4 linked regions of the Pelodiscus sinensis genome follow. The protein of the gene in region 4 interacts with the protein of the main gene of each other region in a biochemical or structural test. Links are inferred from orthologs where the notes say so. Each region holds a gene or a part of one and is shown on either strand. Other genes may lie near its edges. The genes, in order: RIPK1, CYLD, NFKBIA and IKBKG.

Region 1 (7,674 bases), on a different chromosome or scaffold from region 4:
GCTACAGGCATAAAGGGAAACAAGAAGACCTTTTATAAATACATTAGAAGCAAGAGGAAGACCAAGGACAGGGTAGGCCCACTGCTTAGTGAGGAGGGAGAAGCAGTAACAGGAAACTTGGAAATGGCGGAGATGCTCAATGACTTCTTTGTTTCGGTCTTCACCGAGAAGTCTGGAGGTGTGCCTAACATAGTGAATACAAGCAGAGAGAGGGTAAGTTTAGAAGATAGGATACACAAAGAACAAGTTAAAAATCACTTAGAAAAGTTAGATGCCTGCAAGTCACCAGGGCCTGATGAAATGCAACCTAGAATACTCAAAGAGCTGATAGAGGAGGTATCTGAGCCTTTAGCTATGATCTTTGAAAAATCATGGAAGACGGGGGAGATTCCAGAAGACTGGAAAAGGGCAAATATTGTGCCCATCTATAAAAAGGGGAATAAGAACAACCCAGGAAACTACAGACCGGTCAGTTTAATGTCTGTCCCAGGGAAGATAATGGAGCAGGTAATTAAGGAAATCATATGCAAACACTTGGAAGGTAATAAAGTGATAGGGAATAGCCAGCATGGGTTTGTGAAGAACAAGTCATGCCAAACTAATCTGATAGCTTTCTTTGATAGGATAACGAGCCTTGTGGATAAGGGAGAAGTGGTGGATGTCATATACCTAGACTTTAGTAAGGCATTTGATACGGTCTCGCATGATATTCTTATTGATAAACTAGGCAAATATAACTTAGATAGGGCCACGATAAGGTGGGTGCATAATTGGCTGGATAACCGTAGTCAGAGAGTTGTTGTTAACGGTGCTAAATTCTGCTGGAAAGTGATAACAAGTGGAGTTCCGCAAGGGTCTGTTTTGGGACCCGTACTGTTCAATATCTTCATCAATGATGTAGATATTGGGATAGAGAGTACGCTTATTAAGTTTGCATATGATACCAAACTGGGTGGGGTTGCAACTTCTTTGGAGGATAGGGACATAATTCAAAATGACCTTAGCAAGTTAGAGAAATGGTCAGAGGTAAACAGGATAGAGTTTAATAAAGAGAAATGCAAAGTGCTCCACTTAGGAAGGAACAATCAGTTCCATACATACAAGATGGGAAGCAACTGTCTAGGAAGGAGCATGGCGGAAAGGGATCTAGGGGTCATAGTGGACCACAAGTTGAATATGAGTCAACAGTGTGATGCTGCTGCAAAAAAAGCAAATATGATTCTAGGTTGTATCAACAGGTGTGTTGTAAGCAAAGCTCGTGAAGTCATTCTGCCGCTCTACTCTACACTAGTTAGGCCTCAGCTGGAGTACTGTGTCCAGTTCTGGGCGCCACATTTCAAGAAAGATGTGGAGAAATTGGAAAGGGTACAGAGAAGAGTGACAAGAATGATTAAAGGTCTAGAGAACATGACCTACGAAGCCAGGCTTCATGAACTGGGCTTGTTTAGTTTGGAAAAAAGAAGATTAAGGGGGACATGATAGCGGTTTTCAAATATCTAAAAGGGTGTCACAAGGAGGAAGGAGAAAATTTGTTCCTCTTGGTTTCTGAGAACAGGACAAGGAGTAATGGGCTTAAAGTGCAGCAAGGGAGGTTTAGATTGGACATTAGGAAAAAATTCCTAACTGTCAGGGTGGTCAAATATTGGAATAAATTGCCAAGGTAGGTGGTGGAATCTCCCTCTCTGGAGATATTTAAGAACAGGTTAGATAGACATCTGTCAGGGATGGTGTAGACAGAGCTTGGTCCTGCCTTGAAGGCGGGGAGCTGGACTCGATGACCTCTCGAGGTCCCTTCCAGTCCTATGATTCTATGATTCAGAACATCCTCTGGCAGAGATTTCCACAGGTTGACTGTTCACTGCATGAAGAAGAACTTCCTTTTGTTTGTTTTAAACCTGATACCTATTCATTTCATTTGGTGACCTCTAGTTCTTATATTATGGGAACAAGTAAATAATTTTTCCCTATTAACTTCTTCCGCATCAATCACGATTTTATACACCTCTATCATATCTCCCCTTAGTCTCCTCTTTTCTAAGCTGAAAAGTCCCAGTCTTTTTTAATCTCTCTTCATATAGTACCCACTCCAAACCTCTTTTTTCTTTTGTTGTCCTTTTCTGAACCTTTTTCAATGCCAATATATCTTTTTTGAGATGAGACGACCACATCTGTACACAGTATTCAAGATGTGGGCGTATCATGGATTTAAACAGAGGCAATAAAATCTTCTCGGTCTTCTTCTCTATTCCTTTTTAAACTATTCCTAACATTCTGTTTCCTTTCTTGACTGCCGCTGCATATTGAGTGGATGTTTTTAGAGAACTAGCCACAATGATTCCAAGATATCTCTTGAGTAGTGATAGCTAAATTAGTCCCCATCATATTGTATGTATAGTTGTGATTATTTTTTCCAATGTGCATTACTTTACACTTATCAACATTAAATTTAATTTGCCATTTTGTTACCCTATAACTTAGTTTGGGGAGATCTTTTTGAAGCTCTTCACAGTCTGCTCTGGTCTTAACTATTTTGAGCAGTTTAGTATTGTTTGCAAATTTTGCCACCACACTGTTTACCCCTTTCTCCAGATCATTTATAAATAGATTGAATGGGATTGGTCCCCATACAGACCCTTGGGGGAACATCACTAGTTACCTCTCTCCATTAGGAAAACTTACCATTTATTCCTACTCTTTGTTTCTTGTCTTTTAACCAGTTATCAATCCATGAGAGGACTGTCTCTCTTCTCCCATGACAACTAACTTTACAGGAAACCCCCGACTTCCAACTGCCTGAGTTACGGTCTCCCACACTTACAACCATTTTTGTAAGTGAGGAAGGGGTCGAAAACCCCCAACTTACGTCCTCGTCCCACATTTATGATGGCGCACGGTGCCTATCATAAATGAGGGTTCAAGTTACGATGCCCCTGACTTGCTACGCTTCTCCGGGAACCAAGCGCATTGCAAATCGGGGGCCACCTGTATTTAAGAACCTTTGGTGAGGGACCTTATCAAAAGCTTTCTGGAAATCTAAGTAAACTATAGTCATTGGATCCCCCTTGTCCACATTTCTGTTGACCCCCTCAGAGTACTCTAGTAGATTAGTAAGACATTATTTCTCTTTACAGAAACCATGTTGACATTTCCCCCAACAAATTATGTTCATCTATGTGTTTGACAATTTTATTCTTTACTATAGTTTCAATTTATTTGCACGGTATAGACATTAGAATTACCAATCTGTAATTGCCAGGATCACCTCTAGAGCCCTTTTTAAATACTGGTGTCACATTAGCTATAGTCCAGTCATTAGGTACGGAAGCTAATTTAAAGGTTAGGTTATGAACCACAGTTAATAATGGTAGACAGACTACTACTGCAGGTGTGAGGGGGGACAGGCTGCTGTGCTGCTTTGACGTTCCTTAGCTTGGAGAGCTCAAAAAGCTGCTCATGATGTTGTTCTTTGGCAGCTGAAGAGGCTGCGGGAGAACTTAGGGGGAATCCCAAAATGCACAGGAATCAGCTCTGCCTTCACACAACTGTGGGATATGTTTTGTACCCACACTGCACTGCTCATACTGTCAATGATGGTGCCCCCAGTGCAGACATGAGAGCAAGTGTGAACACCCTCTGGAGATTTTTGTTTTGTCTACCTTTGGCTATCGACATCAGTTTTGTTGACACAACTTGGTAGTGTAGACATACCCTTTAGAGTTCTGTCCATAGACATGCCCTGACATGCCTTGCTGAGGCATCAGGTGTATCTCCTGCCTTCTCTCAATGGGTCAGTTGAATAGCTGGTGTTCTTTGGTGGGAAATCAAGCAGGCTAAGCAGTGCATACCCACCTATGAGCATCCCCCAGCAGATTAGCACAAGTTTGTAATACAGACACACACATATCTATAACCCAAAAAACATAGGTGATACAAACATATAACTGAGATTATCAGCTTTGGTAGATTGTAACAATTTTGCAGATACTTTACATGGCATGGGTGGCATATTTGATTATCATTCTACAGCAGTATTTCCAAATGGTGCTCCACAGAACCCTGGGGTTCCGCGAAGTGAAAACAAGGGTTCCGCAAGACAATTCCATTACAATAACATTTTATGATTTTTTTTTAAAAAAATATATATTTAAGCATTTATGAATTTCATTTAAAACAATTTTCATTTGTGTTTGCCATGATAAGTGTCTCTGTATAATGCCAGCTTAGCCGGAGAGTGGGGACGATGATATCACTACTCAGCGCTGTGCTGCCAGTCAGTGGTGCACTCGCCTGTTATATACCACCGTAAATCCCCGTACTCACTCTCAGGGAGCATGGATCACGTGGGTGACTGAATACGAATATACTAGCGCTGCGTTGGACAAAATCGAAACTTCAGCTGTCAAACAAGTTGCTGTTATTAAGGGTTCCGCTAAATTCTTTGGCGTTTAAAAGGGTTCCGTGGCCAAATAAAATTGGGAAACACTGTTCTACAGATTTCATAATATCCTCCTGTCCCCCAAATTCCATACAGCGTCACACACTGACTTCAATGTGGCTACTCAGTTTGTAAACCAGGGCCAAACTTGTGAAGCTAGCTTTGAAGCTAAAAGTAGTACTGCTTTCCATGAGTTTGTACAGGAGCTAGTTTTTCATGACTCCTCCCACAGCAAGGTGGAGGCGGGCCCGAGAGAAGAACCAACCCAACTTTAGAGTTAGTAAAAGAACTGAAGCCAGACTATAGTGGCTGGAGCTTCCTGGGGCCGGGGCCGGAGCTTTGTGAAGTGACAGGTAAGGGCACTTCCATTCTTTGCGCCTTTAAGAAGAGACTAGCGATGTTTCCGCTTGTTTGCTTTAGTTTTCTTTTAAAAAAGTTCACAGGAGCTGCACGTAGGCCTGCCTGGAACTCGGGTCCTTTTATTTTTCCTTCGCGTTTGAATAGACACGCTGTGCAATATTTCATTATATTAAGATCAAGGCCTTTTGGGGACCTGACGTTGGAGAGAAGGGGGAACGTAGGACTCTTCGATTGTCGTTTTCCACTAAAACTTCCCTTATTATTGCCGGAGGGTGAGAGTTAGTTTCAGTTTCAGCACCATGTTGTAAAGGCCGGATTTTTTGCAATCTCTTAGCAAATTCTAATGGTGGAACGAGCCTTCCGTGTTTCCTCTTCCTGCTCCAGTTCCCGGTGCATTTCTGCCCCCCTAGCATACGGTAACTAGCTTTCCTAATGGTCACATAAACTTTCGCTCTTGCAAACACACAGCGGGCTCCTGTATGTGTCAGACACTGTTGTATCCTGAGCCCTTGATTCATGCGCTTTCTTTGGTGTGGTGTGCTGCGGGCTTTAACACACCGACCCAGCAACTCCCAGCTGAAGGACTAAGGTAGAACACCCCCCCCACACACACACACACACACACACACCCCGCCGCTCCCCTCCTGCGCGCTGTGTCTCACGCTTTAACACCGGACTTTCCCGGGCTGGATGCGATCCGTGGGAAGCGGGGTTGTAGGCGAGGACCCGGTCTCTTTAAGACAGTTACCTGGCCCGGGAAGGGCTCCGCCCTGGGCTGCTGTGCAGGGAAAGGCGTGTGCGCGTGGTGAGTCCCCATGTCCCGGGACAGGGCAGGGGCGTTCTGCGCTAGTGACGGTGCAATGCGATTTGGGAGTTGCCGGGGCGACGACAGAAAGTGCAACTCTGAAACTCTCCGTTGTTGCGATCGTTGCGGTTTCTGTCATGCATACATGAAATGCGGTGCTACTGCTCAGGACTTGCTACCTTTGCTACCTGTCCTTACAGCGGGCAGTGACGCGTGGATTTCCTCCATTGGGCTGCCTCCTCCTCTGCTTCCTTGCGGGACGATCCCTGTGGCTCCACAAGGCGGGAGAGGGGCTTTTATCTCCTCTCCTCCCACTGTCCCACCCGCAGCCCGAGGTGGGGAGCCCCCACTGCTGCTCATCCTCAGGGGTCGGGAGAGCAGGGGGGGGGGGATTTCCATACCCCGTTCCCATGCCCAAAGGGGGAGTAGTGAGAATTTTCACCTCCTGCCCTCCACTCTTGTGGTACTTGTTATGTGCACACCCACCTCAGTTTTGATAATAAAAAAAAAGAGGGGGCCCGCGTTCATCGAAATGGGTGCAAGGTGCTAATGATGTAGTGACATCCAAAGCCTAAAAAGATGGTTACTCTCCTGAAGGACAGGGGCAGAACGCAGTGACAGTGCTGTGGAGCCTCCCTCCTCCCCCTTTCATTGTTTAACCTATTAAATGGGATTTTACATCCCAACTTCATCCTAATAGAAAACTGACCATAGCACCAGTCAGAGTCTCTCTGAGGACTTTGTAGGTGTCATCTGAGGGCGTGGGGGGGGGGGAGGGGGGAGTTCAGTAGAGTTCAGACTGTGAGAGGGGGACAACTTCTGAATGGTAAAACAAGGAACAAGGCTAATGAGAAAATAATCTTAGTTACGCAACATTACTTCTTGTGGTAAGGGTGTGACAGGATGAAGGTTCAATGTGCCTGCTTAATGGGAGGAGGACAACAGCTGCTGAGGGGGACACTGCATACCAGGCTCGTACTTCCCCCCATAATTCCCTATTCCCTTTACTTATTCATCTTCTGCCCTTTGTTCCCACATTTCCCTCCCCCTGCCCTATTCTACCCCCTTCCTTACCCACTGCCTCTTCCCACCCTGTCTAATCCCGCCTTTTCTCATTTCTTCCACGCTTCCAAACCCAGCCCCTCCATGGGCACTCCCTGTTGCACAGAAACAGGAAAGCTCTTGACACAGAGAAGGGGAGCATGTGTGGTACTAGGACCCAAAATATGGTGTTTTGCTGCAGACACTCAGCAGAGGCCAGATGCTGTCTCCTTCAGCTGGGTCCTAGCTCCCCATTTGCAGAAATAGGGTGGCAGTGGCAGGTAACCCTTTGTGCCACCTCTGTTGGGGGAGGGGTGACCCCCCCATAAAAACTGCACCCATGGTCACATAATCATAGGACTGGAAGGGACCTCAAGAGGTCATCAAGTCAAGTCTCTTGAATTTATGGCATCTCCAAGCACCATCTGACAGGTGTTTATCTGACCTGCTCTTAAAAGTCTCCAATGATGGAGATTCCACACCCTCCCTAGGCAATTTATTCCAGTGCTTAATTGGGATGTAAAAATTAAAAAAAAATCAAACCCACTAATTGTGTAATCAATTGGCTGGGAGTTTAACTGGTTAAATTCTTACATCCCTAGGGTTTACATTTTTTCCTAGCGCCAGAAACTTTTCCCTAACATCTCGCCTAAATCTCCCTTCCTGCAATTCAAGCCCCTTGCTTCTTGTCCTATCATTAGAGGTTAAGAAGAATAATTTTTCTCCCTCTTCCTTGTAACTTTTAGGTACTGTACTTGAAAACGTATGTCTCCTCTCAGTCTTTTCCTGACTAAACAAACACATTTATTTCAATCTGCCCTCATAGGCCACGTTTTCTTGACTTTTAATACTTGTTGTTGCTCTTTGCACATTTTTCAATTTGTCTACATCTGTCCTAAGGATGTAATAATGTAGTCGATCAACCAATAAGCAAAAGTTTATAGGTTAATGCTATAGACTACACGCATTTCACCTCCCCCTCTTTGCCAGTAAATTTTTAGCAGGCTGGCTAGCAACTTGGCTCAGTCCTCGC
Region 2 (7,260 bases), on a different chromosome or scaffold from region 4:
ATGCCTTCCCATGTTGCCCAGCTGAATCAGGCTACATTCTGCCCTCAGCACCCCCATTCATTATGGGCCCCCCAGTCTCTTGGGCCTACTTGGGCTTCAGCCCTGTGGCTACCCCTGCAAGGCTGAAGCTGTGCCACCAATCCTCCTGCGGCCAGGTAGGCTTGCGGTGGGAACCATCTATGTTCCAAGGTCAGGGGAGCTGCTTGCCCTCTTGGGCTCAGAGGCCACCTGCCTGTCCTATGCTCTGGGGAAGGCTTGGGCCATGGGTTTTGTCCGCCCTCCCTCCCTGTGCTGATGGGAGAAGGCTGGGGCCACCTGCCTCCTGCTGGGGGAGTGGCTTGCAGGACTTCAGGTGGAAGAGATAGGACTGCGGGTTTGTCTCTCCATGATTTAAAGGAAAACAATTATTTAAATCACCAGTTAGTAACAGTCTAGTATGTATAAAAGTATGAATCGTGCATTTTTAGCAGTTGCTAAATCTGGATTTTAATACATGCATGTATATGTTAATCTTATTTTATAATACTACTTTGCACTTTCCTAAGAATCTGACTCATTTTTAAACTGGGTATTAAAGATTAGAGGCAACTGAATGTTCACATGTTCAGTGTTCACACAAAGATATATGTAAGTAACTTTATCACAAAGTCTTCACTACTGAGTATTCCCTGATGCATTATTTAAATTAATTATCCTATGAGTTCTGAGTGACTGCCAACGCTATAGTAGGGGAAAAGTTAAATTGCATATTTGTATTAAATAGGTTTATAATAGCCTTATTGTAATGACTGAATGACCGGCACTGATTTCTAAAGGAAACATTAATGGTTAATTGAAAACATGCACTTAGCTAGTCTTAACATGGAGAAATTTTGACTGGAAAACCTTTTGGTATAAAGCTCTGAAAATTCTGCACAAGAATTTTCTTTTGAAAAGTACTGTATGTCTTTGAAGTAGCAAATGTGCTAACTGATGCAGGAGTTCTTGTAATTTACTTACCAGCAGAAAATATTGCCAGTATCATATGGACTTATTTAGTTAATATACACGTTCCACATAATGTATTGACCACACATATGCTGTGTAATTAAAGAGTTATCGTGCCAAAATACTTTGTCAGGGCCCAATGCAAAGCACACCAAATTCAATGGAGGTGTCTTTCCAATGATTTCATTGATCTTTGGTTAAGGCCTTTAAATCGCAATTTATGCTGACTGCAGGTAATCCAACATATAATATTGATTCAACTTTTCACAAAGATAATGAATGATTTAACAATACATCTGTAGTTTTTTCCTACTACTTACAACTGATGTAGCAACAGACATTTTCTGCTTTGCAATATATTGCCTAGTTAATTAAGGAAGGAAATTTAGTTAAACTGTTTTTCTATCAACATGTATTAAGTGAACATTTTTCATCAAAATGTGTACTAGCCCCTATTTGAATAAATGCAGTCTCTCTACTCTGTGAATATGCAAATGAGGCAAATGAATGTTTGATGCACCAGCATGCATGCGTATCAGGAAATACGTTTAGATTTGCATGTACCCTTTCTTTTATGTGGAACTGGATGCTTTCACATAGGAAGGTGTGTGGTAATCAAACTGGGTATTTGCACATCTAACAGTGAGTGCTTGTCTGCATATGGGGGTATATCTGCACTGCACAGAAGTGTATGACATGTCTAAGGTGTGGGACGACAGGCTTTGGGCATGTTGAGTAAACGCAGATCTGAGGGAGACTGAATATGGGCTATTCCATATCTAATGGATCATATATGGACAGATATGTCAGATCATGATACATCAAAAGGGAGTGTATGTACTTGTATAGCACAGGTCACTGCAGGTTACCTGTACTGCTATGTCTCACTGCATGTCTAAGGGAGTGGCAATGGTAAATATTAGGGATGTAAGCGACTAGTCGAGTAGTTGACTATCCTTATCGGGTAGTCGAGTGACTGCTTGCTTTCCCCCACTCCTTGCTGCATCTGTATTAGATGCAGCAAGGGGCGGGGAAACAGGAGCCGGTGGTGGGGGAAGACAGCTTGAAAGCTGGCTGCCCCTCAGCACCATCTACATGGTGCATGGGAGCCAGGGGTAGCAGAGCAACTATTCAGTCCCAGCTCCCACCACCCAGAGAACTAACCCTGCTGCAGCTCTGCACTTTGCTGGGCTCTTACTACATTTAAAATGCAGAGCTGCAGCATCCTAGAGGGCAGTGTGAGCTGGGACTGTTCAGTCCAGGCTTGCACCGCCCACAGGAGCTACCTTGGGGTAACTCACCATAGGGTTAGCTCCTGGGAGTGGTGACTCTGCACTGCACAGAAGTAGGCTCTTACTACCATTAAAGTTCAGAGCTGGAGTGGGACCACTCCCCCTGTTATCGGCTATGGGTACGTCTAGACTGCATGCCTCCTGTGACAGAGGCATGTAGTCTAGACATACCCTAATTGAGTAGTTGATGGAAATTCCATAGGCTACTTGATTAGTCAAGTATCAGAGGGGTAGCCATGTTAGTCTGAATCTGCAAAAGCGGCGAGGATTCCTGTGGGACCTTATAGACTAACTGAAGTGTTGGAGCATAAGCTTTCATGGTCAAAGACCCACTTTGTCAGATGCACGTACTGCATGCATCTGACGAAGTGGGTCTTTGCCCACGAAAGCTTATGCTCCAACACTTGCTAGTCCAGTGGTCCCCAACCTTTAGAGGCTGCCAGGTGCCAGGGGGCGTGGCCGTTCGCCTGCCGGGTGCCAGAGGGAGGGGAAACATGCATGCCGGCCCCCCCATAGCTGCGTGCTCCCGGGGCTGGCGCTCCTCCTAAGCGCCGTGCGCCACAGGCCGGCACCCCCTCCAAATGCTGCACGCCCGGGGCCGGCGCCCCCCCCTGCAAGCGCTGCGCGCCCGGGGCCGGCGCCCCTCCCCTGCAAGCGCCGCGCGCCCGGCGCCCCCCCCCCCGCAAGCGCCGCATGCCCGAGGTGCGAGCAGCCAATTCGCGGCGCTCCCGGGGTTGGCGCTTACCATGCGCCCGGGCCAGCTCCGGCACTGTGCATGCACCATGTGCCCGGGGCCAGGCCAGCCCTGAGCACTTGGTGGGCGCACACAAATGGCACCGTGTTGGGGACCATGGAGTTAGTCTATAAGGTGCCACAGGACTCCTCTCCGCTTTTGATTAGTCAATTAACTAATATTTAACATCTCTAATAAATATGGAGCAATTTTATCACAGATCTTGCAATATTTCATATTTCTCTTTAATCCTCAGGTTCCTGTGATTTAGTAAAAATCTCTGCTTTCATTAAGTAAGTGCAGAAACTAGAAATTAAAAAAGCTTCAAAATATGTTGCATTTAAAAAAAATTCGAGATCAAAACAGCCTCCCTCTCCCTTACCCCACCTTCCGCACTAAATTTGATTTGTCAGTTTAATAACATGTTCACTTTTTTCATTGTAGTCCTTTGGTATATATATGGCTATGCCAGTTCTCTTCCAGAATATGATCTGAGGAAGTGGGTCTGGCCCACAAAAACTCATCATCTATTAAACCATCTTTTTAGTTTTTGAAGTGCTACGTAGTTTTTCCTTTTGTTTTAGCAAGATCAGACTAACAGGGCTACCTCTCTATGACTATGAGACAGTTAAAGTGCTTAGTCTGTGTAATAATTTACAATGAACCAATGTCCCCAGCTGCAGCACTAGCAAAATGGCTTGGATGTAATTATGTAATTAACGGTGAGTTTCCATTAGCGACTGGTGGCCTGACTCTGTATGGCCCTTCTTATGCGCTCCAGCCACTGCTGACTCTGCTCCCTTAGCCGGCTCCTGACCGCCGCCTTCGCTCCCCGCTGCTGTCAGCCGGTTACTGAAGGATCCAGCCAATCAAGTTGCCTTACCCCACACCTGGTTAAATTCTACCAATCGCTAGACTCGGATGATTTCACCAATCAAACCCAAGCATTCCTCCGCTCCTCCTCTCTCCCCTCCCACCTCGTCTCGGTAGCCAATCTTCATCGCGGGCCTAAAGGGCTTGGCCAATCAATCCTAGCTGATCGATTCCTCCCTCACGTCTGTCCCCGCCTTCATCTGCGGCTCTGGCAAGCCTGATGGAGTGGAAATCCCCTCGTAGCGGCAGGGTTGCTGAACATGTGTGTGTTTGCCCAATAGGAGGGAGAGTGGCCGGCTCGGGGCCTTGTGGTTGGTTCCGGCAGAAGGCTGAGGGCGGTGCTATGGGTCTAGCAGGGTAGGTTTTACGGGCCGGGCCGGCTCTGAGGGGGTGGGTTACGCGGGTTGCCTCGCTCTTGAGGAGTCCCGTGAGGGTGTCAGGTGGCTGGGAAAGTCCCCGCGCCAGCGGCTCCGGGGCTGTCGGGAGGGGCGGCCTGGGCGGTAGCAGCGAGGTGGCTCGCGGGGCGGAGGATGAGGTGAGTGATGGGCCCGGAGCGGTCGCTCTGCGCTTCGGGGCTGCCTCCCGCTGCCCTCTCCCCCCGCCCCCCTCCTCTGAGGCGGCAGCAGCGGCAGGGTGGGGGGTGGCTGCTGACACCTAACGGTGCCGCTATGGGCGGCGGCAGCGGCCTTTTTCCAGGCTCAGGCTCGGGAGCTGCTTTGCCGGCGGGTTATAAACGCTCCCCCCCCCCCCCGGCCGGTGGGAGCGCAGCCGGCGAGCCTGTCCCGGGCGAGCTTGTCCGACCGCCTGGTCCTTGTAACAAGGGGGGGGGGGGGGGGCAGCGTTAGCTTGCCCGCGGCTCCACGCGAACTTGTGGCGGAGCCGGACCCGCTTTCCTTGCGCTGTCTCCCTGCTCCCCACGTTGCTTCGCTTGCAAATCCCTTTAAATCTCTGCACGTGCGGCGGTAAAAGCCCCCCCTCCCCGCCCGTGGGACAGCGCTCGGAGGGCTGCCGGTAGATGAGGGCAGGGTACGTGCCGAGCGCTGTCGGTGTCCCCGTTTCCCTCCCGGGTGTGTAAGGCAGCCCCTCTGTGCTTAGACTGCGCTGGCCCAAAGGCTTAGACACTGGCTACAGAGCAGCAAGGTGAGATTTGGCTTCTTTTCGTTATGATTATTTTAAATAAACCCAACGGCTGCATCTGGACTGGCAAGTTTTTCTGGAAAAGCGGCCGCTTTTGTGCAAAACCTTGCCAGCTGTCTACACTGGCCGCTTGATTTTGCGCAAAAGCACTGACCTTCTACTGTTTGAAATCAGTGCTTCTTGCGCAAATGCTTTGACATTCCTGGGCAAAAGCCCTTTTCTGGAAATGTTTTTGTGCAAGAGGGCCAGTGTAGACAGCTAAAAACTGTTTTGCGCAAAAACGCCCCGATGGTGATCGGGGCTTTCTTGTGCAAAACCGCGTCTAGATTGGCATGGACGCTTTTCCGCAAAAAGTGCTTTTGCGGAAAAGTGTCCGTGCCAATCTAGACGCTCTTTTCCGCAAATGCTTTTAACGGGAAAAACTTTTCCGTTAAAAGCATTTGCGGAAAATCATGCCAACCAACATGTATCTTGGAGGTAGGCTATCTCCGTTAGGCCCTGATCCTACAGTTGGCTCTGGTAACTCCTGCAGAACGTTATTTGAAGTCAGTTGGGTAAGAGGCTCACACTCTCAGATCTGTTTGTAGGATTAGGATTTAGCACTATAATGATCTGTGCTTTTTCTCAGTTGCCCACTGAAATAAGTGCTGTGTAGAAGGGCACTGATTTTGGTCAGTTCGGCTCACAGGTTTACTGTAATGATCCTGGCCACCATTCCTCTATTATATATACAAAATTGAGAGAGTCTGTCTGAGTGGGTTCAAGTCATCCTAAATGTAAAAGCTAGGACCAGCAAATATGGTATGCAGATGCTGCTTCTTATCATAATTTCAAAGCAAGGTAAGGGTTTGGTTGTGCCAGAACAATGGGATTTGCCTGAAATACTATGGGTTCTCATAAAACACAAAGGGACAAGTCTGCTATAGGCTCAGTTATGCTGCGGAATGACCACAGGAGGGCAGGTCCACTGATAAGAGAGTGGCTGGCCGAGGGCAGGATTCTTGATGTTGCTGGCCACGATAGACAGATAAGGTTCCTGTGCTGGTGAGCTGGCCAACCTCCTGCACCCTTGCTTCCCCTTTCCTGAGTCCCTTCTTATCTTCCAACTCTGACTCCTGCACCTCCATACCCCCTGCCTCTAGTACCCCCAACTCTGAGTCCTGAACCCTCGGCCCCCTGTCCTGAGCCCCTCCTTAATGACCCAAGCAACACTGGGTAAATGTGCTAGTGCTATCTAGTTAAAAGTTTAAACAGTATTTTCATGTGTACAAATGTTTAAGAAAAAAGGGTAGGTTAATCGAAAATGAAAATCGGTGTTTAAAAAAAGTAAGCATTTAAAAGAGGAAATGTTTAAGTATATTTTATGCTACTCAGGAAACAAACTTTAACAAGAATAAAGAAATATATTAAGTCATAATCAAGAACATTAAAACTGTTTTCGTCTTTTATTTCAAAACATGAACTCTGTGCACAGCCCTGCTGAATTGGAGATAAATGCCACACTGATACACAAATGTCATCCCCAAATCAAGTCCATGTACCTAATATATCAAACAACTATAGTGTAGTGTTTTCTCTTTTAAACACATTTTTATCTAAACATTCTTTTTGAAAACTGAAAAATATGTATTTCATATTTTACAGTATTAAAGTTAAGTAGCAAAATCCAAACAGTAAAAATAAATTTTAAAATGTATAATTTATTGGTCTGTTTTTAAGATTTCTCTTAGCAATGCTAAGCATTCTTTTAAAAGGCATATTTTTATTTCATTCAGCATTGCAAATGTGCAGCTATTGACTTCTTTGGACGCTACTTTGTCTAATCAACGGATATAGCTTCTTGCGCTTAAACGTATTTTTCAGGCTGTTTGACTGTCATGGTGGTTCTGTACATGGAGTTATTAAAAACATGGTATTTGAAGTGAGGAATCTACAAGAGACAATCTGAATCAGGTTCATCCAGTTTTCCCCACTTGTTCTGTAGTTTGAGACAGGGCAATAATTTGAGTATGTTCATGGTGATAGGAGATACAAATCACATTTCTTAGCCCAAGTAATGCTAAAGCAGAAACAAAATTCTCAAATTTCAGAACAAATTTTTTATTCAAGTGAGATGATTCTCTGTAACAGTATATGTGAGTGACTCCAGGGAAGAAAGGGGTGGGGAGATATAGGAAAACTTCTAACTGGACCGGTTCGTGGGTGAAACTGCACATTTGAGCCACAATAAGTCCCACT
Region 3 (6,867 bases), on a different chromosome or scaffold from region 4:
ATGGCCGCTTGCGCCACTTGCTCCCCCGCAGCAGCCCAGCTAAGCGGCGCAGAAGTCAACCAAGTGCCATGGTGGGAGGTGAAGGGGGAGCGGGGCAGGGACGTGCAGTGTGACAGCGGTTCCAGGCCCTGCCCTCTGGCCGTGAACGTCACCACCCCACCCCCTTTCGCCTCCCGCTGTGGTGCTCAGCTGACTTCTGCACTGCTCAGCCAGGCCACCGCATGGGAGCAAGCAGCGCAAGCGACTGTTTGGGCTCCGCACACCCCATGCAGCATGGGGAGCAAGTAGCCCAAACGGCCATTTGGGCTTTGCGGTCCACCGAGTGAGAGGCGGGAGGGGGAGAAGAAGTGAAAGAGAGAGACAGAGAGAGAGGCAGGAGGAGGGGAGAGAGACAGAGAGAGAGGGAGACTGGAGGCTCAGGAGAGAAGATCGACGTGGAGGAGAGACCTGAAAATCCCGTCTTATGACGGGCTAATTGGCTAGTTATAAATATAGGTCCAACTGTATGTCGCTATCTGCCTGTGTCTTTTTTCATTTACTTTCACTGTAAATTCTTTGGGGCTGGGACTATCTTTATGTTCTATGTTTGTACACACCTAGCACAATGAGATCTGAGTCTGTGATGAAATGCTACAATAATAAATGAATAAATAATAATCATTGCAATTTCTTTCAGTATAAACAAATCTAACTTCAATAAATGTACAATATTGTGTGGACTCAGTCATACAATTCCCACTGAAGTCAAGGGGGAATCTTTTCACTGACTGTGCTGAGGGCTGGAATGGACCTATATGAACAGGCTATAAAATAATTTTCCAGTGTCTAGTTGTTTTAAAATTTTGCTATTCTTGAGGGTTGATTTTCTCCTTAAAAATGCTTTTTTTATAACCTTAGCTCCTAATGACTTTTGTCTGGGAGTTTTATCAAGACTGACCTGGCATCTGTGTCAGGATATAATATAAAAAGTGTGTAGGATATAAATGTTTACATATACATTTAATTTTTAATCATAAACTAGTAGCAAAATGTAACTGATGTTTCAACCATCTTGTCTGGTCCATATATCCTGTAGATGTACAAGTTAGAGCACTTCCTGCTCCTCAAGAAATAAGTTTCCCATATTTCAACTACCTGGGTAGCTTCCCATATAACTGCAAGACCATGGTGGATCCCTATCACTATATAATGTACTGCATATTCCTCTCTCCTCTGCCATAACAAACCTTATCTAGGTCTGAGCAATAATATGCCATAAAGGCCCAGTAGAGGTCACTGTAAACATACCCACCTTCACTTGGCAGACACTAGTCTTGAGGATTACTATCAAAACTAGAGGCAGTTTGGGTAACAGCAGTCAAACCACTGAGACAAATGAATCAAGTTATCAGAGAAGCTACTCTGTTTTGGGGAGATCAAAGCATCTGACTTCATATGATTTGTCTTTATGATTAAGTAATGTGATGCTGTGCTCCTAAGGTACTATAGTCTACAAAACCTAAACTGCTGCTTGCTGAAGAGTATGTTTTTCAGGGAATGAAATGGCCGTGAAAGCTTGGCACTTGCATTCCCATTGGTTAAGAAGTGGGTTGGCCCTGGTGTGACCTTCCATCCTTTTGCTGCAGTGCTACCCACATTTTTTTAACTTTGACTACACTAACAGAAACGTATAGCGAGTAAATCTAAACGCTGGTGCATTGTAAAAAGTCTTTCTGTTGGGAGAGTAATTTTTAAAAGTAACTCAGGTTATGTCCACACAGCAGCATTATTTTGGAATAACTGATGTTTTTCTGAAATAACACAGTGCACGTCTACACTACTAGCCTTTATTTCAAAATAATGTCGAGCTGGAGGACTTCTTACTCTGACTCATGGTAACCCTCATTTCATGAGAAGTAAGGGAAGTCAAAGGAAGAATGTTCCTCCTTTGATTTCCTGAGGTGTAGACAGCACCTCGAGTCAAGTTATGCTATTTCGACTTAAGCTATGCAATTGATGTAGCTGAAGTTGAATAGCTTGATTTGACTTTAGCTCTGCTGTGTAGACGTATCCTCAGTGTTTACTGCTGACAACTGCAAGCATTGAATGCATGGAAGGCATTGGAGAGCCCACCGATTTAAAGTTTAATTTCAATTTGGCCCCAATAAAGCATTTGTTGCAGAATTCTTATGATATTTTATTCCTCTGATTGCCACAGTATCAAGGGCAAGAACTGTATCCACCAATCAATCAAACAATAAATAAAATCTTTACTGTTCGTACAGCATAGGCTTCCAGTTAATGAGAAAGGTATGGATTAGTTAAATTACACTTCACTTAGAAAGAAAATGTTTTAACCAAAAAGGGGAAAATGCATGAAAATTTCATGACCCTGAAATTTTCAAAAAAATAATTGTGGAGCTTTTATGAATTCTTTCAAAGGGCACAACTGTGTTTTTCCAAGCAATGATTCCTATTTCTTTTTATAAGAAAGTCCAGAAATATTGCAGCTGGCCTGAAAAAAATTGGACCATCTGCCCTCTTTCTCCTTTGCCTCTGTCTTTGGATTTTCTCATAACTTTTTTTCTCTCAATGGCTACATTGCCAGAAGAGGAAGACAAGAAAATTTCTCAGACATTATTACTCAGTGTGGTTGCAGGAAAAAAATTCTTCATGGGAAATCCCCCAATGTCTGAGAAGAAAAAGTAAAATTCAGCAGGAATCCCAGTCCCCAGGTTAGCGTGCAGAATCCACAGGATGGCCTAGATGTATTTTTAATCAATCTAGGTGCTTTCAATATTTCACTTGATCTTTATCAGTGAATGTCATCATACCCAATAGGAATTATCAGAGAGGGATATCTAGATAATGGGTAACAATAAACAGCATGCCATTGGCAAAAAGAGAAACTTTTTCTGGTGAGAAGAAAAAATGTTAACTTAAATATGTAAATTTTGGGAAGGGGGAAAAAAGTGAATTAATCTTTGATAGGTACTGTCTCAGTTGGAGTGGGAAGGGAAACCTGCTGTATGTGCTTGATCCTACACAGGAGAAGTTAATGGGAGATTTACCATTGACTTCAATGGAAGCAGGAGAAAGCCCTATGCAGAGCAAGCTTTACTCTTAAAAGTAGTCGTTTTATGAGGCTACATTTATGGAAATTGGGGCTTCTGAATAGTTAAAAGGTTGTTAGTTCCAAACTCATCTGAGGTTTAAGATGTATTTAGTGTGGCTGCTATTGACTACCAATGCTAGTTCTTACATTTAAATAGTGCCTTGCACCACAGGGTATTACAAAATTAGCAAACTGACAGATGGGGGGCTGGTGTGAAATACAGCACAGCGGGACACTGTGGGAATACAGCATCCAGCTGCAACCCCAGGGGCTTTTAGAGAAGCAGCACAGGAGCTGTGATGTGGCCAAGACAACCCTGGTCTTTGCACAAAAAAGTGGCATCTTCATGACTCCAAGTGGTAGTAGGGGGGACACTGCTTGTGTGCCTCTCAGGCAGGCAGTGGCAGGAGTGACGGCATTGGCATCTCCCCTGTGGTGCCGTTTTAGCCTTGGAGAACCTGTGAGTACAGAGTCCCAGGGAGACCAGGGGAAGGGAAACCCCAGGATGGGAAAAAGCCAACTCCAGGGGCACGGCAGGGAAGTACCTGGGGAAGGGGGTTAGTCACAGAGCTGTACCAAGTACTTTCCCTCTTGTGAAAAAGGGGGTGGGGGAAAGCGAAGAGGGGCGGGTCAGTCATGGGGATTCCTTCGCTGCGAGTCTCGCCTGGGCTTTTATGTAACGCCTCCCGCAGCCAGGCGCAGGCTAGTTCTTGCTGTTTGACTGGCCTGGAAATTCCCAGCCAGCGGCTCCTCCCCCTCGCAGAAATCCCCTCAGCAGAGGGCGTATATCCAGCGCCACCGCGCGCCGCCGCTCTCACTCTGACGCCCGGAGCCGCTTGGTGAAAGATCCACAGGGGGGGACCTATTGCTGCGCCTGCCCGTCCTGTGCTAGCGGCGGCCCAGCCATGTTGCACCCCAGCTGCATTGCGGATGGCCAGCGGGAGCTGGCGATGGAGAGCCGCGAGCCACTGAAGAAGGAGCGGCAGCTCGGCTTGCTGCAGGACGACCGGCACGACAGCGGGCTGGACTCCATGAAGGAGGAGGAGTACGCGCTGCTGGTGAAGGAGCTGCGGGACATCCGGCTCCAGCCCCAGGAGGAGCGGGGGGCGCCGCACGCGCCGGCCCAGCCTTGGCAACAGCAAGTGACCGAAGAGGGAGACACGTAAGTGTGTGTCCTGCGCCGGCTGCACGGAGACCCCCGCGCGGGGCGCTGCGAGACCCGGGGGCCGCGGGCGGGCGCATTTGAAACGACGATTGCTTTTAGATAAGCGATAGTGGGTTCTACTCAGAACCTAGCTGAGCCCTGCTGGGGGGCGGGGGGGCGCTGCGGGCAGCGCCAGGCGCCGTAGGGCTGCGGAGTCCAGCGCTGGCCGCCCGCCAGCCGTGCCGGGAGGGGATGTACAGAGTGTGCTGGCGGGGCGGGGCGGGGCCGGCGCGGCGCCCGGCTGGGCGGAGGGGGAAGGTGCGGTGGAAAGTCCCTGGCGCGCCGCCAGGAACACAGCTCATAACAACCCCGCGGAAAACACCAGGCCGCGGCCTCTGAAAACCCCAGGCTTGCGAAAGCCGCCTGCAGCCTGTGCACGTGACTGCCGGGGCATTGCCCGGGGCTGGCCTGCTGATCCCGTGAGCTCACGTCCTCCCCTGGCTCATCGTTCCCGGACCGACTTTGAGGGGTTGTTTCTTTTTTCCCCCCTCTTGCAGATTTCTCCACTTGGCAATTATTCACGAAGAAAAGGCCTTGAGCGTGGAAGTCATTCGGCAGGCAGCTGGTGATCCTGCCTTCCTGAACTTTCAGAATAACCTGAACCAGGTATTTTAAGCCATCTGCCTTCTTGCTTAAACGAGCCAGGTTGCCTGACGCCCTTGGTGATTTCAGTAACTGTGTCATGCAAAATTGTACATTCGGTTGATATTTAATCAGCTGAGCCCCTCTCCCTCCAAGACACAAGATTGCCATTGTCCACAGATAAACTTCTGTTTGTGTACAATCAACATTTGAAACGACACTGGCATTTGAAACGATGGATTGCTTTTAGATAAGCTGTAGTGGGTTCTACTCATCCATTATTTCCATGAAAAATACACCCTTAATTTGTACTGGCCCTCTGCGGTCAAGGGAGCTTTAAATCAGTCACTTCCAAATTAAAAGAGAACTGAAGAAGTCGAGCTAGAGCTGCTAGAATCACCAAGTGGTTGAAGGGTTATATACTCAGTTGCTGTCTCTAACATTTCCTGTTTGTCATGTACCTTATACTAGTTTGTTTTCTTTTTTTATTATAGACACCACTTCACCTGGCAGTAATCACAGAGCAGGCTGAAATTGCTGAGTCTCTTCTCAAGGCCGGTTGTGATCCAGAAATCAGAGATTTCCGAGGAAACACACCACTTCATATTGCCTGTGACCAGGGGTCTCTCAGAGCTGTCAGCGTCCTTACTCAATACTGCCAGCAGCACCACCTATGTTCAGTCCTGCAGTCAGCTAACTACAATGGTATGCATGAAATTCTTAGCAGCTAGTGTTTTTGTGACATGAATTTCAGAGTTTTATGAAGATGGGAGGCTGAGGCCTAGCTGTAAAATGATTTCCCTGAAATCACACTGCAGTCAGTGCTGGAGCTCGGAATAAGTCTCAGCTCCCTTGACTGCAAGTGCTTAACTCTGGTTTTCACACTCTTCAACTTTACACTTTGATTTTTAGATAACACTGTTTAGATATTTTTTTAAAATTGTAGACATTTTACATGTTTCTGTTTCTACTTTGTTAAAACAAGTTCCGGTGTACCACTGGGTGGAAAAAAGGCACTGCGTTTAAAAAATAACGGTGCCTTAGACACAGTACAACGATGATTAGAGAAATTTAAAAGTTCATGTAGAACATTTTACATTCAGTTTAGATAATGGTGATTGTATTTCAAACTCAAAATATGATAGTGTGTTAGGGGTGTTAGAAAGTGACTAATAATGCATTAAAGTAGAAGTACTTAATTTGTACCTATGTTCTTGTTTTACAGGACACACGTGTCTCCATTTGGCATCTATTCAAGGGTATCTGGCTATAGTAGAATATTTGCTGTCCTTGGGAGCAGATGTCAATGCTCAGGTGTGTATTTGAAGCTCTTTGTTTATCCAAACATGATAATGCTGGAATAGGAATATCCAGTTTTTGTAGTGCCAAGCCTAACTATCCTGTTTTATTTTTACTTACCAGGAGCCTTGTAATGGCAGAACTGCCCTGCACTTAGCTGTAGATCTGCAGAATTCAGAACTGGTGTCACTTCTAGTAAAACATGGGGCTGATGTGAACAAAGTGACCTACCAGGGCTATTCTCCATACCAGCTGACATGGGGAAGAGAGAGCTGCAGGATACAGGAACAGCTAAAGCACTTAACCATGGCTGACCTACAAATGCTACCAGAAAGTGAGGATGAGGAGAGCTGTGAATCAGAATCAGAATTCATGGAGGATGAAGTAAGTAATTATTTTCACCCTTTTATAAGGAAGGACTAAATTTTGCCCTTATAAGCATCTATATGCTCCTATTAAAATTGTCAGAGAAATGTGCCCATAATTCTTAGGTGTTATTTCCTGATGTTTTGATGGCATATTGGATGGCCTGTTGACTGTATTAGATATATTTCATCTACACACTCAAAATAAACTAAAAATATAAATTAGTAAGCATTAGGAGTGCAATATAAGGTCTAAGCATTGGACACCTAAAGCCAGAGGTGAAAGTAAGCTGGTGTACCCCAGTGTACCACTTGCGCAAGGA
Region 4 (7,856 bases):
TCCCCGCCTCCCTCTGGGAGCAAGGAGTAAGTTTGGTATGGGGCAGAGAAAGATCTGGGCAGGGCTAATCTGAAACGGCTCCTGAAAGCAGCAGCCCATTCCTCCTCCAGCTCTGCCCCCACAGCTCCCAGGGCACAGGACCCACAGCCAATAGGAGCTGGAGCTTGTGGTGGGGAGGTGTGTGGAGACCCACAGCAGGGCAAGCCCTTGAAAGCCAGAGGAAAAGGTCAAAGGGGCAGGATGCAGCCTAAAATTTGCCCATCCCTGTTCTAGACCATCCTTGCAGGCATTTGTCTGACATGCTCCACAACGTCTCTGGGCAATTGATTACAGTGCCACTCTGACCGTTTTCCCTCATGTCCAACCTAACCCTGCCGATCTGCAGTTTAAGCACATTGGTTCTTGTCCCAGACGCAGAGGCCAATTCTCCCCTCCTCCTTGCAACAGCCTGTCATGTCCCCTCTATCTCCTCTACAAAGTAAACAAGCCCAGGGTCAGCCTTCCCTCAACAGGCTGGATCCCGGCTGCTGCTCTGCACCATCTCCAATGTCGCCATATCTTTCCCGAAATGGGGTCTTTTTGACAAGACTCCTGGATGGCATTGCAAATACCCTGGCCCACAGCGCCCACTCAAGGGGCCAAGCCTCCCACACGAGTCTCGCTGGGCTGGATTCCCTGCAGGGAGCCATGAAGAGGGACTGTGGTGACTGGCACCTGCAGGCCCAGCCTCGGAGGCCAGAGGCCTCCCCTGCAATGGTGCTTGGGCCCAGTCCCAGGCAAAAGGCAACTTCCCAAGAAAGAGGTGCAGGCTAGGTCATAGACCGGACTCTGAACCTGTCAGCTGCCTCCCCCTGCCCCCCCCCCCCCCCCGAGCATGACCAGCAGGGAGCAGCACCTACTTTCCCATACACACACACACACAGGGAGCAGCCACAGCCCCTGCTCCTCCCCCCCCCCACACACACGGAGCAGCCACAGCCCCCGCTCCTTCCCCCCCCCACACACACGGAGCAGCCACAGCCCCCGCTCCCCCCCCCACACACACAGCAGTTCCAGTGCCCACTTCCCACCACCCACACACACACACACACACACACACACACACACACTAGCTCCAGCGCCCACTCCCCGCCATAAAAACACAGGAAGCAGTTCCAGCACCCACCCTCATACACACACAGGGAGCAACCACAGTGCCCCACCTCCCTACACACAGCACAGCTCCAGCACCCACTCCCCCCATACACACACAGAGGAGCTGCCCCACTCCCCCCCCAATGCGCACACAGGGAGCAACAGCAGCGCCTCACCCCATACAAACACAGAGAGCAACTGTAGCACCCCACCTCTCCCCATCCACACACACACACACACACACACACACACACGGAGCAACAGCAGCGCCTCACCCCATACAAACACAGAGAGCAACTGTAGCACCCCACCCCTCCCTATACACACACACACACACACACACACACACACAGGGAGCAACTGCAGCACACCCACCCCCATACACACAAACACACAGGGTGCAGATAACAGCTGTAGCACAGCACTCCCCCTCCACAGGGAACAGGGGGGACGGATAACTCAGTGGTTTGAGCATTGGCCTGCTAAACCCACCGTTGTGAGTTCAATCCTTGAAGGGGCCATTTAGGGTTGGAATGTGGGAGGTGGCTCTAGGCTGATGCAGGGGGTTGGGGTGTGGGAGAGAGCACAGGCTCTGGGGCTGGGACCCAGGGGTTCAGAGAGCAGGAGGGGAATCAGGGCTGGGGTGGAGTGGGGCTCAGGGTAAAGATTTACAAGCAGCTCCCAGAAGCAGTGGCAAGTCCCTCCTGTGGCTCCTATGCTGAGGTGCTGGCAGGAGGTTTGCGCTGCACCCACAGCCCCCACTGACTGAGGATCCTGGCCAAAAGGAGCTGCAGGGTTGACGCTTGGGGTGGGCGCAGCATATGGAGCCTCCTGACTGCCTGGAGGTGCTTCCTGGGAGGCTGCCCGAGCCCCACTGGACCCACGACTGGGCAGTATGGCTTGGTCAGCCAAGCAACATGCTGCAGCCCAGGTCCAGGTTGCAGGGAACTGGGCCCCAGCCACCCCTTTCAGTGCTGTACCAGTCCAGGGTACTCATTCATCCTCACCTTTCAGATCCTGGTTTTCCAGCAGGAAGCGCTGCAGGGCCTCATGCCCGGCCAGCTCAGGGGGTAGTTGCCAAGCCGCCACCTTGCCAAGGGATGAGTCCTCACCAAGAGCACTGCAGTCACTGCCTGGGCACCCGCCTGGCTGCACCATCTCACAACTCCGCCGTTGCCGGGTCCCGTTCATCCAGTCTAGCCTGTGAAGAGACATGGCACTATGAGACCTGGGAAACGGAGGGTCCCTGGGCTGGGGAAGGGGGGGGACTGATGCCCTGTCACGAACTGGTGCATCTGAACTTCACCAGCTAAAGTGACCCTACTCAGTTTGGTCTTGAAGGGAACAGAAAAGTGACAAAGCAGAGGATTGTATTCCCCTTGTAAGAGTGCACGTGAGTTCTACCATCCTGTGGTAACCCTGTGTGTGTGTGCCTCAGTTTCCCTGGGCTCTGCACCAATCCCTGGATGGGGATTTCAGGGTGACAACCTCCCTCATGTACACACTGGCTGTGATCCTTCGTACCCCGAGCCGGCACGGGGAGGGCATGGCACCTTTAGCCTGGAAAGCAGGGCAAAGGCCGGAGGAGGAGCTAGGACCAGGCTGCTGCGTGGGTTCGGGGGTTGGGAGGGGGCGGGGCCCTGGCCTGGGCTGTCCTGGCTGATCCTGGTGCCGGTGCTCCCACCGGCTGAGCCCTACGCCTGGCGGGCGGGGGCGGGGGCGGGGCCGGAAATCCCCAACCTCGGCGACAGGAGAACTCGGACGCCTGGATCGCGGTTCGGATACTCGTCGCCCCCGGCTGCCACTTCCCTTTTCCGGGATCGCGGCCTTGTCTCCCCCGGAAGTGCTTCCCCGGGACCCGGAAGCGGAAGAGACGTTCGTAGCCTAGAATGGCGGGGATTGGCCTGGGCAGGGATGGGGAGCCGGGCGGGGATTGGCAGGGGCGGGGATAGGGAGCCGGGCGGGGATTGGCCTGGGCAGGGATGGGGAGCCGGGCGGGGATAGGGAGCCGGCGGGGATTGGCAGGGGAGGGGCGGGGATGGGGAGCCGGCGGGGATTGGCAGGGGAGGGGCGGGGATGGGGAGCCGGCGGGGATTGGCAGGGGCGGGGAGGGGCGGGGATGGGGAGCCGGCGGGGATTGGCAGGGGCGGGGAGGGGCGGGGATTGGCAGGGGCGGGGCGGGGATGGGGAGCCGGGCGGGGATTGGCAGGGGCGGGGCGGGGATGGGGAGCCGGGCGGGGATTGGCAGGGGCGGGGCGGGGATGGGGAGCCGGGCGGGGATTGGCAGGGGCGGGGCGGGGCGGGGATGGGGAGCCGGGCGGGGATTGGCAGGGGCGGGGCGGGGATGGGGAGCCGGGCGAGCGTTGGGCCGCCGGCGGAGCGCGATCCAGACGTGGGGAGCGGTGGGGGAGCGCGGAGCGGTGAGGGCCGGGCTCGGGTAGGGGGCATGGTGTTGGGGGGCTGAGCTGGGGGGCCGGGCTCGGGTAGGGGGCATGGTGTTGGGGGGCTGAGCCGGGGGGCACTGGGGGGCCGGGCTCGGGTAGGGGGCATGGTGTTGGGGGGCTGAGCCGGGGGGCACTGGGGGGCCGGCCTCGGGTAGGGGGCACGGTGTTGGGGGGCTGAGCCGGGGGGTACTGGGGGGCCGGGCTCGGGTAGGGGGCACGGTGTTGGGGGGCTGTGCCGGGGGGCACTGGGGGGCTGGGCTCGGGTAGGGGGCACGGTGTTGGGGGGCTGAGCCGGGGGGCACTGGGGGGCCGGGCTCGGGTAGGGGGCACGGTGTTGGGGGGCTGAGCCGGGGGGCACTGGGGGGCTGGGCTCGGGTAGGGGGCACGGTGTTGGGGGGCTGAGCCGGGGGGCACTGGGGGGCCGGGCTCGGGTAGGGGGCACGGTGTTGGGGGGCTGAGCCGGGGGGCACTGGGGGGCCGGGCTCGGGTAGGGGGCACGGTGTTGGGGGGCTGAGCCGGGGGGCACTGGGGGGCCGGGCTCGGGTTGGGGGCACGGTGTTGGGGGGCTGTGCCGGGGGGCACTGGGGGGCTGGGCTCGGGTAGGGGGCACGGTGTTGGGGGGCTGAGCCGGGGGGCACTGGGGGGCCGGGCTCGGGTTGGGGGCACGGTGTTGGGGGGCTGTGCCGGGGGGCACTGGGGGGCTGGGCTCGGGTAGGGGGCACGGTGTTGGGGGGCTGTGCCGGGGGGCACTGGGGGGCCGGGCTCGGGTAGGGGGCACGGTGTTGGGGGGCTGTGCCGGGGGGAACTGGGGGGCCGGGCTCGGGAAGGGGGCACGGTGTTGGGGGGCTGTGCCGGGGGGCACTGGGGGGCCGGGCTCGGGTAGGGGGCATGGTGTTGGGGGGCTGTGCCGGGGGGAACTGGGGGGCCGTGCTCGGGTAGGGGGCATGGTGTTGGGGGTCTGAGCCGGGGGGCACTGGGGGTCTGAACCGGGGGGCACTGGGGGGCCGGGCTCGAGTAGGGGGCATGGTGTTGGGGGGCTGTGCCGGGGGGCACTAGGGGGCCGGGCTCGGGTAGGGGGCACGGTGTTGGGGGGCTGTGCCGGGGGGCACTGGGGGGCCGGGCTCGGGTAGGGGGCACGGTGTTGGGGGGCTGAGCTGGGGGACCGGGCTCGGGTAGGGGACATGGTGTTGGGGGGCTGAGCTGGGGGGCCGGGCTCGGGTAGGGGGCATGGTGTTGGGGGGCTGTGCCGGGGAGCCGGGGGGCACTGGGGGGCCGGGCTCGGGTAGGGGGCATGGTGTTGGGGGGCCGGGCTCGGGTAGGGGGCATGGTGTTGGGGGGCTGTGCTGGGCGGTTGGGGGACCCCGGGGGGCTGTGCTGGGGGCATTGGGGGGCTGTCCTGGGGGAGGGGCCCCTGGGGGGAAAAAGCCAGACTGCTCAGGGCCTCATGGGACCCAGAAGTGACAAACCTCCAACCCCCTGGTCCCACCCGGGGCTTCTCTTCACCCCCACCTGCTGCCGCCCCATTTTCCCCCATCCTCGCTCAGGGCCACTCTTCCCCCACAATCCCATTTCCCTTCCCCCACCATGGGGCTCTGCCCTGCTGTTGGCCAAGCAGAGACTTGTCCCTGGCTGCCTGGGGCTGGGGAGGGAGCCCAGCCTGGGTCAGCCCTCTGAGGCAGGCGGTTCACATGGTCTCTCTGCTCTAGGGAGCAGCCGTGCCAGCACCATGGCCTTTCCACAGGAGCTGAGTCGCTCACAGGTGTGCGGGATGATGCGGGAAGAGCTGTGCCAGGACCAGGACTTCTTGCGGTCTGACACCCACATCTTCATCATCCTCGGGGCCTCGGTGAGTCCCCAGTCAGCCAGGCCATGCCCCATGTGGGGTGCCTGAGCTGGGCCGTTCCTCTTGCACCCTGCTTTGTGGACAGGCAATGCTGTGGGGGAACAGGGAGTTCCCTGCAGGACCCTGCACTTGGTGAGGGGATGGCTAAACTAATCTTCCCCACAGCTCTGCTCAGCTGCCAGATTCCCCTGAGCTCCTGCCTCCCGTGGGCTCTGCGGCTCATGCCTCCAGGGCGAGGCAGGAGTTGTACCAGGGGCGATACTGAGCACTGGGAGCTGCAGCCGAGCCATCCCAGCTACCATGACTGGGCAGAGTGACTTAACTTCCTGCCTGGTGTTGTGTAACCTGGGCGGGCAGCACTTGCCTCCAGTGGGGGCGGGGGGCCACTAATCCCTGATGGGTTGAGCTATGTGCCCTGTCATGGGGCCACCCAAGGCCTGGGATGGTGCTGGTGCTTGCCATGGGATGGAGTGAGGTCAAGCCCTGGCTTGGCCAACCCTTCGTTTATATTCCGTGAGCAGTAGTGAGATTTCAGCAAGCAGAGGTGTGTGATTGACACCGTCTTGTTGCTCCCAAATCCACCCACTACTCTGAATTTGCCCTGACACCCCAGAAGCCTCCCAAACTGCCTCTCACCATAGTCATCCCTTAGGCCCTGGAAACCACCCCGGTGCCCCTCAAACTCACAGAAACTGCCTCAGTTCCCTCCCCAGAACTTCAGCATAACCCTTTTCTACCCTGCTTCCGGTTGCCTGCCTGCTCTGAGGGGTCGCAACATGTCCCTCCCGTTGTGGGATCTGTTGCATTTGGACAAAGGGAAGTGCTGGGCACTGCTGAGCAGCTGTGCCCATGGGGAACCACAAGATAAGCAACGTGGGGGTGGTCAGAGGAGACCACGGCTGCTGGAGCCACTCCCATGCTGGGGGTGGCTGGGCAGTGTCCTTGTGGTGGGGGTGGCATGTGGAAGCCCCCTGCTCACCCTAGCTCCCTGTAGCTGAGGAGAGTAATACACACAAACACACCTTTGCTAGCTTCGCTCACCCACCCTGAGACATCTACTTCAATGTGCTTGTGTCTCAGGCCAAAGACTCCCCCACTTGGCCCCGGGTTCCCCAGGCAGGCGGCCAGCAGAGTAGGCAGCAAGAGGCGGAGAAGCCCTGATTTTGCTTGAGTTGCTGCCGCTGTCTGCACGCCCCACAGGTGCATTACTGCTGGTCTCAATTTCTGGGGCTTTGGTTCCCACTCTCTCCACCTTTCTCCACAGCACAGGAACCCATCTCCCCTTGACATGCTGGTCTGATGCAGCCTTCTGAGGCTTTCTGTGCATTTTCCTCCAGCCTGGGAGTAACTTTTCTGGCTCCTTTCTCCTCTCCATCCTTTCCACTTTTCTCCCAGCCTTTATGAAAGGCAGCTACCCAAGTTGGGTGCAATTCCCCATCTCTCATGATGTTTGGTTGGGTGGCACAGCTCCCTCCCTGTTCTGCTCCTGGCTGCCCTGGTGATACACCCCACAAGCCTCTTTGGCCCCATCCCAGGTCTAGGATGCCACTAAGTCCCCTAGAGCCTTCTTAGAGTCCCCGGCTCTCTGGAGCACAGCCCCAGGCAGTTGGTGTTCCTTGCTCCTAGCAGTCCCCCACACATCTCCTGGCAGGGCCAGACACCCCAGGCACTCCCCCAACCCTGCCTGCAACAGAGCAGGAGAGTGGGGAAACTGAGGCACAGCGATTCAGTGGCTAGGCTCAGGTCACACAGGGCGACTGACCCCAGAAGCCAGCTCCCTGTTTAAATATAGGGGTTGTCCCAGCTCCACGTGACTTGGGTTCACCTCAAGTTGGCAGAGCTGAGGCAGAGAATCCTGGGTAGGCACTGGGCCCTGTGAGCTGTGATGGGAGCTGCTGCGGTCTCTCTGCAGGCCTGTCAGGGACAGCACAGGCTGGATGCCTGGCACCTGCTCCCCCTCCCCCAGCAGAGGGAGGGAGGAAGGAGAAAGCCGCTTATCAGCGTTTGTGATAGATAAGGAGCTTCCTGGGCTTAGGCAGAAGGCCAGTGGCCTGGACCTGGCTGTGGGAGGCAGGGCAAAGAGCTGAGGAGAAGATGGCGTATCCCTTTGGGCCAGGGAGTGGCAAACACAAATGTCCCTGTATCTGTGGGCATGGCTCATTTTCCCTGCTCAGCCATTCCCTGGCCTGCAGCAGACTGTGTGGTGTGTCCCCAGGCTGGTATGGGCTTGTTGGGCAGTTCCCCCCCCTTACCATGCAGCGTGGGGCTGGCACATCCCTGTAGTGTGTGTCGTATCCCTGGGCTGGTTTGAGCTCGCTGGTTTGAGCCCTTGCTGTGAGGGGGTGGCGGTATCCCTGGGGTATCCCTTGGCCTGCTTCTTGCACTAGGACCCGCCTTGCTGTGGGAGCTGAGCCTCTGTGACTCAGCAAATCCCT

Evidence for each region.
Region 1: the proteins of IKBKG (region 4) and RIPK1 form a complex in vitro, tested with the Homo sapiens proteins (4 studies listed by BioGRID). The link is inferred for Pelodiscus sinensis from reciprocal best matches to the Homo sapiens genes IKBKG and RIPK1.
Region 2: the proteins of IKBKG (region 4) and CYLD form a complex in vitro, tested with the Homo sapiens proteins (3 studies listed by BioGRID, with this or other methods). The link is inferred for Pelodiscus sinensis from reciprocal best matches to the Homo sapiens genes IKBKG and CYLD.
Region 3: of the proteins of IKBKG (region 4) and NFKBIA, one has a biochemical effect on the other in vitro, tested with the Homo sapiens proteins (15 studies listed by BioGRID and IntAct). The link is inferred for Pelodiscus sinensis from reciprocal best matches to the Homo sapiens genes IKBKG and NFKBIA.

The regions. Positions count from the first base shown.
Region 1 is NC_134712.1:115,469,391-115,477,064, reverse strand, and holds the start of RIPK1 (receptor-interacting serine/threonine-protein kinase 1), read left to right. Parts: upstream 1-4,657; 5' UTR 4,658-4,788; intron 4,789-4,815; exon of another isoform or gene 4,816-5,384; intron 5,385-7,674. UniProt on the Homo sapiens protein: Serine-threonine kinase which is a key regulator of TNF-mediated apoptosis, necroptosis and inflammatory pathways.
Region 2 is NC_134722.1:31,411,933-31,419,192, forward strand, and holds the start of CYLD (ubiquitin carboxyl-terminal hydrolase CYLD), read left to right. Parts: upstream 1-4,260; 5' UTR 4,261-4,420; intron 4,421-4,704; exon of another isoform or gene 4,705-5,025; intron 5,026-7,260. UniProt on the Homo sapiens protein: Deubiquitinase that specifically cleaves 'Lys-63'- and linear 'Met-1'-linked polyubiquitin chains and is involved in NF-kappa-B activation and TNF-alpha-induced necroptosis.
Region 3 is NC_134714.1:48,030,367-48,037,233, forward strand, and holds the start of NFKBIA (NF-kappa-B inhibitor alpha), read left to right. Parts: upstream 1-3,857; 5' UTR 3,858-3,999; coding exon 4,000-4,256; intron 4,257-4,795; coding exon 4,796-4,904; intron 4,905-5,374; coding exon 5,375-5,585; intron 5,586-6,105; coding exon 6,106-6,194; intron 6,195-6,302; coding exon 6,303-6,563; intron 6,564-6,867. UniProt on the Homo sapiens protein: Inhibits the activity of dimeric NF-kappa-B/REL complexes by trapping REL (RELA/p65 and NFKB1/p50) dimers in the cytoplasm by masking their nuclear localization signals.
Region 4 is NW_027465910.1:86,349-94,204, forward strand, and holds the start of IKBKG (NF-kappa-B essential modulator), read right to left. Parts: upstream 3,006-7,856; 5' UTR 2,875-3,005; intron 2,851-2,874; exon of another isoform or gene 2,659-2,850; intron 2,336-2,658; 5' UTR 2,326-2,335; coding exon 2,142-2,325; intron 1-2,141. Other genes in the region: G6PD (glucose-6-phosphate 1-dehydrogenase), read left to right, coding at 3,440-3,554, 5,285-5,424. UniProt on the Homo sapiens protein: Regulatory subunit of the IKK core complex which phosphorylates inhibitors of NF-kappa-B thus leading to the dissociation of the inhibitor/NF-kappa-B complex and ultimately the degradation of the inhibitor.